Regions from separate parts of the Mus musculus genome. Here region 2 is reported to be linked to region 1. The links are microRNA targets in miRTarBase. Many come from high-throughput screens and were not tested one by one. Region 1 holds a microRNA gene; the other region holds the end of a gene's coding sequence.

What was found. Region 1 holds the annotated microRNA mmu-miR-23a-3p (AUCACAUUGCCAGGGAUUUCC, at 4,014-4,034, opposite strand). A microRNA usually pairs through its seed, bases 2 to 8, with sites in the 3' UTR of a target mRNA and lowers its output. Matches are read on the target gene's strand: a 7mer-m8 pairs with bases 2 to 8, a 7mer-A1 pairs with bases 2 to 7 and ends in A, and an 8mer does both.
Region 2: miRTarBase lists Bbc3 as a target of mmu-miR-23a-3p. The part of its 3' UTR that is shown has no 7-base or 8-base seed match.

What each region holds. Positions count from the first base shown.
Region 1 is chr8:84,205,477-84,212,596 of GRCm38, reverse strand. Mir23a (microRNA 23a) reads right to left here and starts at 4,079; the gene lies at 4,005-4,079. It overlaps Zswim4 (zinc finger SWIM-type containing 4), which reads left to right. Exons shown (of 14, transcript NM_172503.3): 14 at 1-1,655. The coding sequence ends at 651. Mir27a (microRNA 27a) reads right to left here and starts at 3,925; the gene lies at 3,839-3,925. It overlaps Mir24-2 (microRNA 24-2), which reads right to left and starts at 3,782; the gene lies at 3,676-3,782. It also overlaps Mir3074-2.
Region 2 is chr7:16,315,972-16,323,090 of GRCm38, reverse strand. It overlaps Bbc3 (BCL2 binding component 3), which reads right to left. Exons shown (of 4, transcript NM_133234.2): 4 at 4,757-5,973. The coding sequence ends at 5,857. It also overlaps a transcript of Sae1 not described here. Among named protein-coding and RNA genes, the nearest start is that of Bbc3, 9.9 kb to the right of the region's middle.

The DNA.
Region 1 (7,120 bases):
GCCCTGACCCTGTGTGAGAAGAACCACGCGGCCTTTGAGGCTGCCTACCAGATTGTGCTGGACGCTGCAGCCGGTGGCCTCGGCCACGCCCACCTCTTCACGGTTGCACGGTATATGGAGCATCGAGGCCTGCCTCTGCGGGCCTACAAGCTGGCCACGCTAGCCTTGGCACAACTCAGCATTGCCTTCAACCAAGACAGCCACCCTGCAGTCAACGATGTGCTGTGGGCCTGCTCCCTCAGCCACTCGCTGGGGCGGCACGAATTGTCGGCCATTGTCCCTCTCATCATCCGAAGCATCCACTGTGCACCCATGCTCTCAGACATCCTGCGACGCTGGACACTCTCAGCACCCGGGCTGGGCCCACTGGGGGCCCGCAGGGCTACCAAACCACTAGGGACTGACAGGGCACCACTTTGTCAGCTTCTGGATGCCGCAGTAGCCGCGTACATAACCACCAGCCACTCTCGCCTCACCCACATTAGCCCACGCCACTATGGTGACTTCATTGAGTTCCTGGGCAAAGCTCGAGAGACCTTCCTTCTGGCACCAGACGGGCACCTCCAGTTCGCACAGTTCTTAGAAAACCTGAAACAGACGTACAAGGGAAAGAAGAAGTTGATGCTGTTGGTTCGGGAACGGTTTGGCTGAGGAACTGCAGAAAGCCGGGAGCATGGGTGTCCCAGGCCCACCTTCCTCAAACAGGAGGCCCATGGCTACTTGCAGTAAAGTTACAGAGGTGGGAGGCAGAGGGTGACATCATTCCAGGTGTGTGCCTAGGAGTGTGCAGACAAACGGGACATGCGATCTGAGGATCCGAAGCCATACTGCTAACTAGACCCTGCAGGGAGTATGTGCCTGGGCACCTCACACGGAAGAAGCAAGCTCTGGCTCTTCCAGACTCCCAGGGTCAGCTGGGACTTCCAGGAGAAGGGCTGGGCCAGAGTGAAGTTAGGCCTCCAACTCAGTGCAGCAGATGCTCCAGAGCCGGAGCTGGCCGGAGCCTAGGCACTTCACATCAGGGTAGTTACTTCCCACTGTGTTTCTCCCCTCTCCACAGCTCAGGGCTCCTGTCCCACTGCCCTGCGCCCCCAGCCCCAGCTTTCCAGCACAAATGCCTCACCCCACTGAAGGATATTAAGAGGTCTTGGGCCTCTGCCACATACCTCACCCCCAAATACCCTTGTCAAGCCAGGGCCTGTCTTCTCTTGGGCACCAAGGTCACAGGGTAGGCTGGGGACAGCTCTCTGCTGGCCAGACCCCACCACTAGTAACTGGATACACAACTCAGGAGTCAGGCTGCCCTCCAGCCTGTTGTGGGAGGCACAGGCAGACAGCCAGGGACCCCGTTCTGTCTTCCTCTTGCTCTGCACCTCCATTTGTTTCCCCACTCCCTTAGTTTCCCCATGTCTGCATCTCTCTCAAGTCCCAGCTGCTGACAGGCCTTCCTGTATCCCAGGCCTTGGCCCAGGGAGGAAGAGAAGGGAGAGCCTCCACCCCAGACGCACCTGTCTTCTCTCTTGTATATTAAGGAAAAAGTTGGCATCATTTTGTAACTTTTTTTCTTATTTATTGAACCCCATACTGTATTCTTTTCCTTTTTTTTTCCTTTTTTTTTAAAAAAAAGATTGAACACAACTTCTTTTTAACTTCAAGACTGGGTTGCATTGCTAACACAAACACCCGGGGCCAGGGGTACCTACCACCTGCTCAATTAACCAAAAAATTTTCCATCTCGGTTTTTGGGCACAACTTGAATGGGACAGGAGAGGCTGCTGGTTTCTTCATGGCATCGTGGTGACACGAAGAGCCACCTCTTGCTGGTGGCTTTACTGCTTTTCCATCTGCATGTCATAATCTCTGCAAGTCAGGAGGCTTAAAACGCCCAAACCTAGAGTCTGTAGGTTTTTGGAAAATGCACCCAGATTGCACTGTCCTTCATTGCAGGAAATGACCACCAGGGGGCGTCTGGCTCCAGACAACGTCATTCGGAGCTCCGGAGGTCTCACCAGGTGCGGAGGGCAGCTGGGGACGCCTGTGTCCCCAGTGACCTGCCCATTGCATTTTTGGGCTGTGGATGAGACTCCCGTTCTTAGATGGATTCATCCAGCGGACGGCCTGGGCATTCTTCTCATTCTCCGGTTCTTTATGTCCTTAGCTGTGTCTGACAGGGTCATTGTTTAGGACCGTTCTCTTGGAAGCTGTGTGTGTGTGTGTGTTGCCTCTGTGGGGCACTATGGGAGCTGGCTGTGACTATGAGTGTGGCCATAGTTCATGGTGCGTTCCTTTGCTCCAGGGAGCCGATCAGAGGCGATCCGCCCCTTAGCCCTTCTGGCGCAGACGGGCGCGCGCGCGTGCGTGCGTGCGTGCGTGTGTGTGTGTGTGTGTGTGTGTGTGTGTGTGTGTGTAGACGGGCGCGCGCGCGTGCGTGTGTGTGTGCATGCGCGCGTGTCTGTCTGTGCTCGCATATGTGCCCGTCCTTAAGCCCTGTGTGTGTGTGTGTGTGTGTGTGTGTGCATGCGCGCGTGTCTGTCTGTGCGCGCATATGTGCCCGTCCTTAAGCCCTGGCATCTTGCCAGTCAGTGCATCCCAGCATAGGCAGAGTACATTCTTGTAACATACTCCCTCATGGAACTGGGGTGACCACAGATTGGTCTCATACACCCCAGGTCTGGGTTATCCCTCCCGTTCAAGCCATCCCCAAAGGATCCCAGGATCTTCAGGTCGCAGCACCTACTGACCACAGAACTATATTTACACCTTCCTAGAAGCAGGTGGAGCAAGGTTGGGGATAGGTGCAATGCAGGTTAGGAGCCCAGGGTGTGGTAGATATAGTGGTGCAGCTGGTATTCCCAAACTCCAGACACTGGAGGAGTTTGATTCAAGGTCAGCCTGGTCTACACAGAAATGCTGTTTCAAGAGAAATGAAAAAAGCCAGCAACACACATGTGGGAGGCGGGAATGAAGAGACGTCAGCCCTTACGGAATGAGGCTGTGGAGCTTTTATTTAGTTGGAGAACAACATTCAATACAAGCTTTCAACTCTGTTCTTCCACCCAGGCTTCGATTTGCCCCTGCCCAGAGTAGGGAGAGGACACTGTATGGTCTGGGAAGTGTAACTCAGCCAGTTCCAATTAGTCTGCATGCAGTCTCATTTGTGGGTAGTAGGCAACTTTTTAACTTCCAAGCCTGGAGATTACTTCAACAGGCCAATGGGGGGGGGGGGCATGGATCTGTTCATATCCTGAGGCCTGTGTGGACCTCGCTCCCTGCCTCGCTGTCACCAGCAGAAAGCTGCAGACCCCATGGGATTGCTAGGCACACTGGATCAGGTCAGTGCCTTCTTCCGGAAGCAGAGAGTTGGCATTTAACCGTTAGAGGGCCTAAAGCAGCTTCCTCTTGGGTAACTGACTTCAAAGATGGTATGTATAAGGGGTGGTGCCTGAGCCCCACCAGACTTAGGAAAAGAAGGGCTTCCAGGCCCTGAGGGGACATAACTGGCTTTTAATGCAAGGGTTACCCGCCCATCTATCTGCTTTGGGGAACCACAGAAATCTCAAGGTGGACACCCAGATGCAGGCTTAGAGGCTGAGCCTCCAGCAGACAACGGGGCTTAGGTTGGACTAATTACCCCATTGTTTCCAGGTCTTGCTCACGGCAGACATTCTGCAGGGTTGCCAGCTCCTAGGGGGCTGGACTCCTGTTCCTGCTGAACTGAGCCAGTGCACTGGAATCAACTGTTTCAGCTCAGTAGGCACGGGAGGCGGAGCCCGGAGAGAGGCAGAGCCCTGCCAGCCAGGAGGCAGAGCAGGGTGGGCAGCAGCGGCCTGAGGAGATGGGGTCCAGGGGGCGGAACTTAGCCACTGTGAACACGACTTTGCTGTGGACCTTGCTCACAAGCAGCTAAGCCCTGCTCCTCAGGCCAGTTGTCATGATAGGCTTCTCTGTTACCCAGTACCCAAGACAGACATCCTTGGCGACAGGAGCCCCCAAGGCAGAGCACAGGGTCAGTTGGAAATCCCTGGCAATGTGATTTGTGACTGGCATCAAATCCCATCCCCAGGAACCCCAGCCGTCCGAGGCACAGTGAGGGGGGCAGCAGGTGGGAGCGGAGTGTAGCACCTAAAGAGAGAAAGAAGAGACAGTGAGATTGGAGCATTCTTGCTTGCCTGCCTATCTTGACCAGGCTGGGTCTCACATAGCTGAACACAAGGTTTCCGAATGCACCAGTTCTTCCTGCCTCTACCTCTGGAGTCTAGGATTATAGGTACACCTCACCACACACAGTTTAAGTGGTGCTGGGGACAGAATCTAAACTCAGCTTGCTGATCCACACCCTAGCCCTCCTCTACTTCCAAGAGGGAAGAAGCATTCCCAAAAAAGAGGAGCATCGATCCGTAGGAAGGTTGGAGCGAGGCTGCTGGATGCTGGGCACCCAGCAGTGCCTCTACCCCAGCCCTACAAAGCGGGAGGTGCCTGAAGCCCTAAGGCCAAAGGGGCTGCAGAGCCTTCCCAGCTGCTTCCCACTCTGCTTCTATCCCCACCCACAGCCCTGAGCCCAAAGCAGGCCAAATGGGGCCATGGAGAGGAAGCTGAGGGAGGTGGACGGTTGGAGGGAGGAAGTGACCTCACCCCAGCTGGCGCCACTTCCTAGAAGCCTGAAGGGCAGGAGGAAACTCCAGGGCCTCCCACCTCAGCCCTCTCCTCCCCAGCCAGCTCAGACATAACCCCACCCCCACCCCACACCACCTAGGGCCCAAGCAAGGAGAAGCAGGCCGATGCACCCCAACAATAACACCTCAGTAAAGTTTCCCCTAGGCCTTCCAAGCCTCAGTTTCCCCATCTGTAAAGCAGACTACAACAGTTGCAGTTGGTGGCTCACGTTTATCTCAGCATTGAGGAAACTGAGGCAGGAAGGTTGCCAAGAATGGAGTCAAAAGCCTGCTTAAGCTACATGATGAGTTTTAGGCCTAACTGGGCTACAGTTTGAGACCCTAGTCTTAAATAGAAGAAAAACAAAAATAAAACAACAAAACCCCAAACCTTCTACTAGGAAGGCCAGTGAAAACTTACAGAGAAGGTATTTAGCACCCAGTACCAGGGCAAGCCACAAAATTTGGGGCCTACCCAATGTAGAGTAGTGTCCTGCGTGCCAGTTAAAGTTTTCAGGGGCCAGCAAGCTGATCCAGCAAGTGAGCAGAGCTGCTATGGAGCCCAATGCCCTGAGCTCAAACCCAAGAACCACGAAGAAGAAAAGCATACGGACCCTTGCAAGTTGTCCTCTGATCTCTGCACTTGGGAACACACACACACAATTTTTAAAAATTGTTTAAAGAATTTCAATGTTGGAGAGATGACAGGTTTCTTTCCCAGAACCTACATGACAAGCACAGCTATCTATAGCTCCATTCCCAAGAGCTCCAACGCTCCCCACTGGCCCCTGTGGGTACCAGGCATACATATGGTGCACAGACGTACGCGTAAGCAAACATTCACAAACAGACAATAAAAATAAACTTAAGAATGGTGGTGCACACTGTTAGTCCCAGCACTTGAAAGGCAAAGGAAAGCAAGAACCAGGCCTTGGACAGTACTATCTCTAAGAGTTCAAGGCCAGCTTGGTCTGTGTAGGGAGTTTCAGACCATCCAGGGCTACATAGTGACACAAGTGACCTTGTTTCAGATAAAGAGCTGACTCAGTGGTTAAGAGTGGCTACTGCTCTTGCAGAGGGCCCGAGTTTGGATCTCAGCACCTGTCACAACTACCTGTAACTCCAGCTTCTGGGGATTTCACTCCCTCTTCTGGTCTCTGAGTGTACTGCACTGTCATGCACAAAGACCAGACAACACACACACACACACACACACACACACACACACACACACACACACGTCTTCTTTATAAAACATCAGGGTCGGGCTGGTGAGATGGCTCAGTTGGTAAGAGCACCCGACTGCTCTTCCGAAGGTCCGGAGTTCAAATCCCAGCAACCACATGGTGGCTCAAAACCATCTGTAACGAGATCTGACTCCCTCTTCTGGAGTGTCTGAAGACAGCTACAGTGTACTTACATATAATAAATAAATAAATCTTAAAAAAAAAAAAAAAAACATCAGGGTCTTCAGTGATAGGTCAATCAATAAAGTGGTCACCATGTAAGCAAAAGGGCTTGTGTTGTCCCCAGGTATGGCAATTCACACTTGTAATTCCAGAGCTGGGGAAGGGAAGCCACAAGATGCTCTAGGGCTCACCACCAGCCCGCCTCACCAGCTCCATGTCCCAGTAAGACACCTTCTCTGAGAAAACAAGGTTGGAGCTAGAGAGATGGCTCAGTGGTTAAGAGCATTTGTTGCTCTTTCAGAGGACCTGGGTTGAGTTCCCTGCACCTACACAGTGGCTCACAACCATCTGTAACTCCAGTTACAGGAGATTCTATGTCTCCCACCTTTTAGGACATCAGACACACACAATCCTGAGAAACTACACTTGACATTGCACTCTGTACACACACACACACACACACACACACACACACACACACAAAAGGGAGGAGAGTAGAATTTTCATGCCATGCACCAGGGCCAGGTCTTATATAAGCCCTACAGTGGTGCATACCTGTGATCCCAGCTAGGAAGAGACAGAAGCAGGAAGATATATATGAGTTTGAGGCCAGCCTGGTCTACATATGAGGCCCTTTTTAAAGGGGGAGGGGGAGGAAAGGGAAGGAAAGGGTTTTGGCTACGGGACACTCAGTTCTGGAGCTCGTCAGCCTGCATGTGAGCTATGCAGCTTCTTTGCTGGCTGACTATGGGCAAAGAACACACGTGCTCTGTGGCAAAGTCTCTGTCTGCAAGAAAGCAAAAATGAATCATTTCAGAGCTCGAGATGATGTGACATGACAGCAGACTGCAGACGTGTAATCCCTATATCTAGGACAGGGGTAAAAAGATCTCAATTTAGAAGCCAGCCTGGGCTACCAAGACATGGTGTGTCTCAAAAAGAAAGGGCTAGAGATGGCTCAGCACTTGCTGCTCTTCCGGGGGTTCCAGGTTCAATATCCAGCACCTACATAGTGGCTAACAACTATCTCCAACTTTAGTTCTAGGGATCCTGACACTT
Region 2 (7,119 bases), not on the chromosome of region 1:
GAAAACACAGTAAGAAATTTTGCAGCCCCCCAAAAAGTTTGAAAGATTGAAAAGGTTGAGCAAGGTGACTCAGCGGGTACAGGAGCTTCCTGGAGTTTGTTCCCTAGGACCCATGCGGTAAAATACAAACCCTGAATTTCACAAGTTGTTCTCTGTCCTACACACACACACACACACACACACACACACACACACACTCAAAGATACATACATACATATACAGACATAGGTACATATACATATAGACACAGACACATGCATATACACACCAATATATACATGAAGTATACATACACTGTGTTAAAAACTTCATAACCTCTTGTGAGAAATGATCTCAAGGTCTGAACTATGGTACACAAGGCTTCATGCTATATAACCAGAACTTTACTGCCCACCCACAAATTATTCAAATTATAAAGCTAACTAAGAGGCAAATGTGTTGGCTCAAACCTATGAACCTAGTACTCAGACTCAGGCAGAAAATGGAGGACTGAGGGAGGGTGGAGCACACTTTTAATCCCAGCACTTAGAAGGCAGAGGCAGATGAATCTATAAATCCAGCCTGGCCTAAAAAATGAGTTCCAGGGGGCTGGAGAGATGGCTCAGTGGGTAAGAGCACTGACTGCTCTTCTGAAGGTCCGGAGTTCAAATCCCAGCAACCACATGGTGGCTCACAACCATCTGTAATGAGATCTGACGCCCTCTTCTGGTGCATCTGAAGACAACTACAGTGTACTTAGATATAATAATAATAAATCTTTTTAAAAAAAATGAGTTCCGGGGCTATATCAAGAAACCCTAGCCGGGCGTGGTGACGCACGCCTTTAATCCCAGCACTCGGGGAGGCAGAGGCAGGTGAATTTCTGAGTTCGAGGCCAGCCTGGTCTACAGCGTGAGTTTCAGAACAGCCAGGGCTACACAGAGAAACCGAGAAACCCTGTTTTGGAAAACAAACAAACCGAAAATGGAAGACTAAGTTAGTGTGGATATAGTAAGTCGGAAGCCAGTCTGGGCTCCAGAGGGAAATCATGTTCCAAGTTGGTATGCATGTATACATATATGTATGTGTGTGTATGTATGTGTGCACATATGCCCCTATGTGTGTAGTGAGCATGCGCACACACATGCATGCACATGTATTGGTTTGAATGGATTCTCCACAGGTTTCTGTCTGTGGACGTTTGCTCCTTGGTGGCACTGTCTTTGGCACTGTAAAAGTGTGGCTGGTGGATGCGCTGTGTTTCTGGGCAGGGTGCTCTGAGGGGTCCCTATTCCCTGCTTCTAGCCTGATCTTTCTGCTCTTGTGCTGCTAGAGCTGTGAGCAGCCAGACAAGCAATCAAATGTCCAGGGCTGCCTCCTCCAGTCAACAGGATGGGCTTGACCCTTAATGGCGAGTTGAGAGGCTGGCGTGTGGCTGGCATGCACAAAGCCCTGGGATCCATTGCCAATGCTGAGGAGGGGAAGCAGGAAGATTGGGGATTGGGTGTTCAAGGCCATCTTGGGCTAATCGAAACTTGTCTCAAAAGCAAAAAAGAGAGGGCAAGCGTCTGTAAAACTACTTAAAATGCTGAAGGGAGAGTTGGGGTATAGCTTAGTGACTTAGCACTTGCCTGCCATGGGTTTTATGGTTGCCCCATAAAACATGAATAAGACCAGGAAGTTGGCTCTGTGTGGGTAAAACTCAAGCCTGAGTTTGAATCCCTGGATCCCATGTGAAAGGCTGGGTGTGGCTGCCTGTGCCTGTAACCAAGATTGATGATGAGGGCAGATCGCCAGAGCTCCATGAGAAAATCCTGTCTCAAAGCAGGCATACCTGCACAGTCACCAAGGCACCAAGCAAAATGTAAATGAGCCAGTGGAAGGCAGGGGAAAAGACTTTACCCTCGCTATCTTACAGCTCAGGCTAAAACTCTTCCTTCCTTCCTTCCTTCCTTCCTTCCTTCCTTCCTTCCTTCCTTTCTTTTCTTTCTTTCTTTCTCTCTCTCTCTGCCTCTCTCTCTTTCTTTCTTTCTCTCTCTCTCTCTCTTTTTTTTTTGAGACAGGGTTTCTCTGTGTAGCCCTGGCTGTCCTGGAACTCACTTTGTAGACCAGGCTGGCCTCGAACTCAGAAATCTGCCTGCCTCTGCCTCCCGAGTGCTGGGATTAAAGGCGTGTGCCACCATGCCCGGCAAAATTCATTTTTTGTATCTCCATGTTTTGTCCACTGTAGGTTTGTCTGGGCACCATGTGTGTCTAGTGCACAGAAAAGCCAGAAGAAGACATCAGTTCCCCTGGAGCGGATGTTATCAGCTGCCCTGCAAGTGCTGGGAACTCAACCTAAGCCTTCTCCAAAAACCAGGAGTACTGTGAAGCACCTGGCCGTCTCTCCAGTCACCAACAACAACGCTGCTTGTTAGCAAATATTTTGGTAGCAGCAACAAGAAATTGCCTAATATAAGGTCTCACCCATCCCTGGACTGCCCTTGGACTCCTGATCCTCCTGCCGCCGCCACCCCCCACCCCCCCGCCATTCCCCAAGTACTGGAATTTCAGACAGGTGTTAGCAATCTGGCCCATACAATACTTATGAAAATTAATCAGTTAAATCTTATTAAAGATATTAAAAATATTAAAGGAATCAATAGTTTTAGAGACACAGTGCTTCTGTGGATGGAGGTCAGAGGACAACTTGTAGAGAATAGTTCTCTCCTTCTATAATATGAGTCTGGGGGCTGAAGTTAGGTTCTCATGCCTGGTGGCAATTAATTAGTCTTGGCACTTCCCCCCACCCACAAAGTTTCTCTCTGTAGCCATACTCGGAGATCTGCCTGCCTCTGCCTCCTGAGTGCTGGGATTAAAGGTGTGTGCTACCACATCACACCCCAGACTTGGCACTTTTTTTTTGTTTTGTTTTGTTTTGTTTTGTTTTTGTTTTTGTTTTTGTTTTTTTGAGACAGGGTTTCCCTTATAGCCCTGGCTGTCCTGGAACTCACTTTGTAGACCAGGCTGGCCTCAAACTCAGAAATCTGCCTGCCTTTGCCTCCCAAGTGCTGGGATCAAAGGTGTACGCCACCACTGCCCGTCGACTTGGCACTTTTGAGAACTGCTGTGTGCACAGTACACTTGGACTCTTGAACACATATATGTTCTTCTCGTGGAGATGCTCAGGAGGGCAGTGGATATGGCTTCATCAGATTCCTCTCCTCTATGCCCACAGCCCTCTAGAAGATCCACTTCCCCTAAATTGCTTTTTACTGTCACTGGCCACCAGGAAGGGATATACTACATATCTGCCTCTCCCTGAAGTCATTACAAAGCTGGCACTTGAGTGGGTTCAAGGACTGCCAATTCTCAGTCAGTTAGTAGGAAAAACTCTCCTTTCTCAAAATAATGCAAAGTGGGTTCTGAGGCTGTGCTCAGCATCGAGAGCTGGCCATGTGCCTGGCCTTAGGACAATGGTGCAAGGAATGTCTAGTTCTGATCTTAGCTCCAGGTCCCTTTCCAGCCAGAGAGCAACCTGAGGCTGGTCACAGGGCCAGGCTAGACCCCATGTCATTCAGGACAGAGCTCACAATCTGTAACTCAAGCTCTTGAAACAGTGGCTTCTAAACTATAAGCTATTCGTTCGTTCGTACAGTAAATCTTAAGCTTAGTTACACTCTTCATACCTGATGAAATAAGTACACATGAAGTATTAGTCCCTGTGTGTGCTTGCTCTCAAGACTACAGCAGTGGCTGCCAGCTCTGTGTAGCTACAACTTCTGTGCCTCTTTCATCCCGCCTTCCTTTTTTCTCTTGGTATAAGTAACTGAACCCAGGACTTTGTGCTCAGTTGAGCCACACCTCCATATCCTACTAGGCAGGGGCTCTACCACTGAGCAATGCTCCCAGTCTTTCTACTGTTTTTTTGTTTGTTTGTTTGTTTGTTTGAGACAGGGTTTCTCTGTGTAGCCCTGGCTGTCCTGGAACTCACTCTGTAGACCAGGCTGGCCTCAAACTCATAGATCCACCTGCCTCTGCCTCCCAAGTGCTGGGATTAAAGGTGTGTGTTACCACGCCCGGCTTTATTTTTAAATTAATTGTATATGAAGTTTGTATCTATATGAAAGCCTGCAGGCCAGAAGAGGGCATTGGATAACATTATACATAGTTGTGAGCCACCATGTGGTAGCTGGGAATTGAACTCAGGACCTCTGGAAGAACGGCTGGTGCTCTTCACAGTTGAGCCACCTCCCTGGCACATTTACCTATTTTATGTGCATATGTGTTTTTGGGGTTTTGGGTTTCCTTGTCCGCATGGAATGGGCCCTGTGCACATGCCTGGTACCCGCAGGCCAGGAGGTATCAGATCTGGAACTTGAGTTACAGAGTGTGAGCTGCAGCATGGGTGCTGGGACCTAAATGCAGATCCTCTTGAAGAACAGCCCATACTTCTACCTGCTGAGCCAGCGCTCCGCCTGTCCCCTCCACCTGTCCCCTCCCCATTGCTGAGACTGGGTCTCAGTTGCTCAGGCCTTCCAACTAGCTACGACAGGCCTGTGCCACCAGACCAGCCTCTAGCTTACCTTTTAGTATGACTGCCCCTTAAGAGTCCAAAAGTTCCAGTTTCTTTCTTTCTTTCTCTTTTTTACATTTATTTATTGTTATATGTAAGTACACTGTAGCTGCCTTCAGACACTCCAGAAGAGGGTGTCTGATCTCATTATGATGGTTGTGAGCCACCATGTGGTTGCTGGGATTTGAACTCAGGACCTCTGGAAGAGCAGTCAGTGCTCTTAACCACTGAGCCATTTCTCACACACACACACACACACACACACACACATACACACACACACCGTTTCTTTCATGTCCTTACAGGTAGTGCCAGATGCTCTGTCACTGGTAAAGCTAACAAAAAGAGTGTTCACTGTTCAATCTGATTTTATTGAAAAGGAAACATACAAAAATCATGTACAAAAAAAATTAACCAAACATGTACAGAAAATTCATTCCAGTATATCTACAGCAGTGCATGTACAGTATCTTACAGGCTGGGCCGTCCCTCCCCGCTCCCAGACTCCTCCCTCTTCTGAGACTTCCCCCCTCCCTGACTCCCCATCTTCCTCCCCAGCGCTTTGCCCTGGGGACTAAGGCTGGGGTGGCTTCCGCCAATATCTCCCACCCCCCAAATGAATGCCAGTGGTCACACGTGCTCTCTCTAAACCTATGCAATGAGATGGATGGGGATTGGGGGGGGGGGGGTGGTCCCGGGCAGAGCACAGGATTCACAGTCTGGACCCCTCCTGGACACCCCCAGATGAAGGTGAGGCAGGCATCGTTCACCGCCCGCCGGCGGCTCAGGGAAGATGGCTGGGCACTGGGTTAAGAAGGCCTTCACACGCCCCCCATTCTCTGGCTCCAGGAGGCTAGTGGTCAGGTTTGGCTCATATGCTCTTCACAGACCCCCTCCTCAGGAGGAGGGGGGGAAGCACCAGGGGCCTGAGGCCAGGCCCAAAGTGAAGGCGCACTGGGGACACCCCCAGCGTCCCCCCTGCAGCTGGAACGGGCAGCCAGCACCAGCAGCCTTTCCTGAGATGGTGGTGGGCGGCAGAGGCGGGCGGCTCGGTCCCCACCCCCTCAGTCACCATGAGTCCTTCAGCCCTCCCTTCCCTGGCTTTCGGGAGGCCAGGGTCCCCCCAAGTCCGTATCTCCATCAGTGCACCCAGGCTGCCCGGGCTCGAGTGGCATCCCTTGCCTGCCCCTGGGACGGGCAAGGCTGGCAGTCCAGTATGCTACATGGTGCAGAAAAAGTCCCCCGCGCTGGCCAGGGTGTCAGAAGGCGGAGGGGGTCCTGCCCCCCAAGTCTCCGACGTCCCCCGGGCGGGTGTAGGCACCTAGTTGGGCTCCATTTCTGGGGCTCCAGGATCCCTGGGTAAGGGGAGGAGTCCCATGAAGAGATTGTACATGACCCTCCAGGGTGAGGGTCGGTGTCGATGCTGCTCTTCTTGTCTCTGGGGAGAGGAGGAAGTAGGAATTAGCTTGGACCCGCAGACAGTGGGTTAGTGAGCAAAAGGTGTGGGTTCGAGATCGGTCCCAAAACTGAGCGCAACCCTCTTACCAGCCATTTTTCAGCCCCTCACTCACCAGGGCACACTCTCCCAACCTAGGTGGGAAGGGGCTGGGGCAGAATTCCCATAGCATAGAGCCTAGCACACACACCCTACGAATCACAAGGGCTCTAAGGGGTGGGCTGAAACGCAGCCCACTCAAGGTGAGAGACAGGCGTGGTGGCTCGAACTCATCTTAGTGTGCCTCACTAAATTTGTGCTAGAGCACAGGCTCCTAACTGGAAAAATCAAACCAACCAAACAAAAGGCTGTTGGGACATGGGAGAGAGTAAGGAGCAGCCCGACAGCCTAAGCAGTTCTCAAACCACCCCGGAAGAGTGTTGAGAACAGCAGGCCATGCCAGCAAGGCTGAGAGAAGGTATCTCTTGGCAATGCTGGCTTCAGGGAAACTCTTGTTCGATCCCTGGTGGTAGAGAAAAAGTGTGATGTAGCATCTAGATTTCTTCTGTGATGGCACAGGCCTGTAATCCCAGCGACTCAGGAGGCTGAGGCAGGAAGACAAAAGTTCAAAGCCTGTCTGAGCTATAAAGTGAGTTCAAAGCCAGTGTGAACAGCTTATTAAGAGCCAGCCTAAAAAAGAAAAAGAAAAAGAAAGAAAAGGAAAGAAAGAAAAAAAAAGGAAAAGAGAAAAAGAAAGAGAGAAAGAGAGAGAGAGAGAAAGAAAGAATGCTGGGTGTGGTAGCTCACATCTTTAATCTTAGAACTTGTGAGGCAGAGGCAGGCAGATCTCTGAGAATTCAAGGCTAGCATGGTGGTCTACATAGTGTGTTCTAGGACAGCCAGTGTTGGAAGGAAAGAAGGAAGGAAGGTAGGAAGGAAGGAAGGAAGGAAGGAAAGGGAGGGTGGGAGGGAGAGTGAGAGAAAGAAAGAAAGAAAGAAAGAAAGAAAGAAAAGAAAAGAAAAGAAAAGAAAAGAAAAGAAAAGAGAAAGAAAGGAAGGGAGAAAGGAAGGAAGGAAGAACGGAAGAGAGAGAGAGAGAGAGAGAGAGAGAGAGAGAGAGAGAGAGAGAGCAAGCTTTTATTTGGTCCT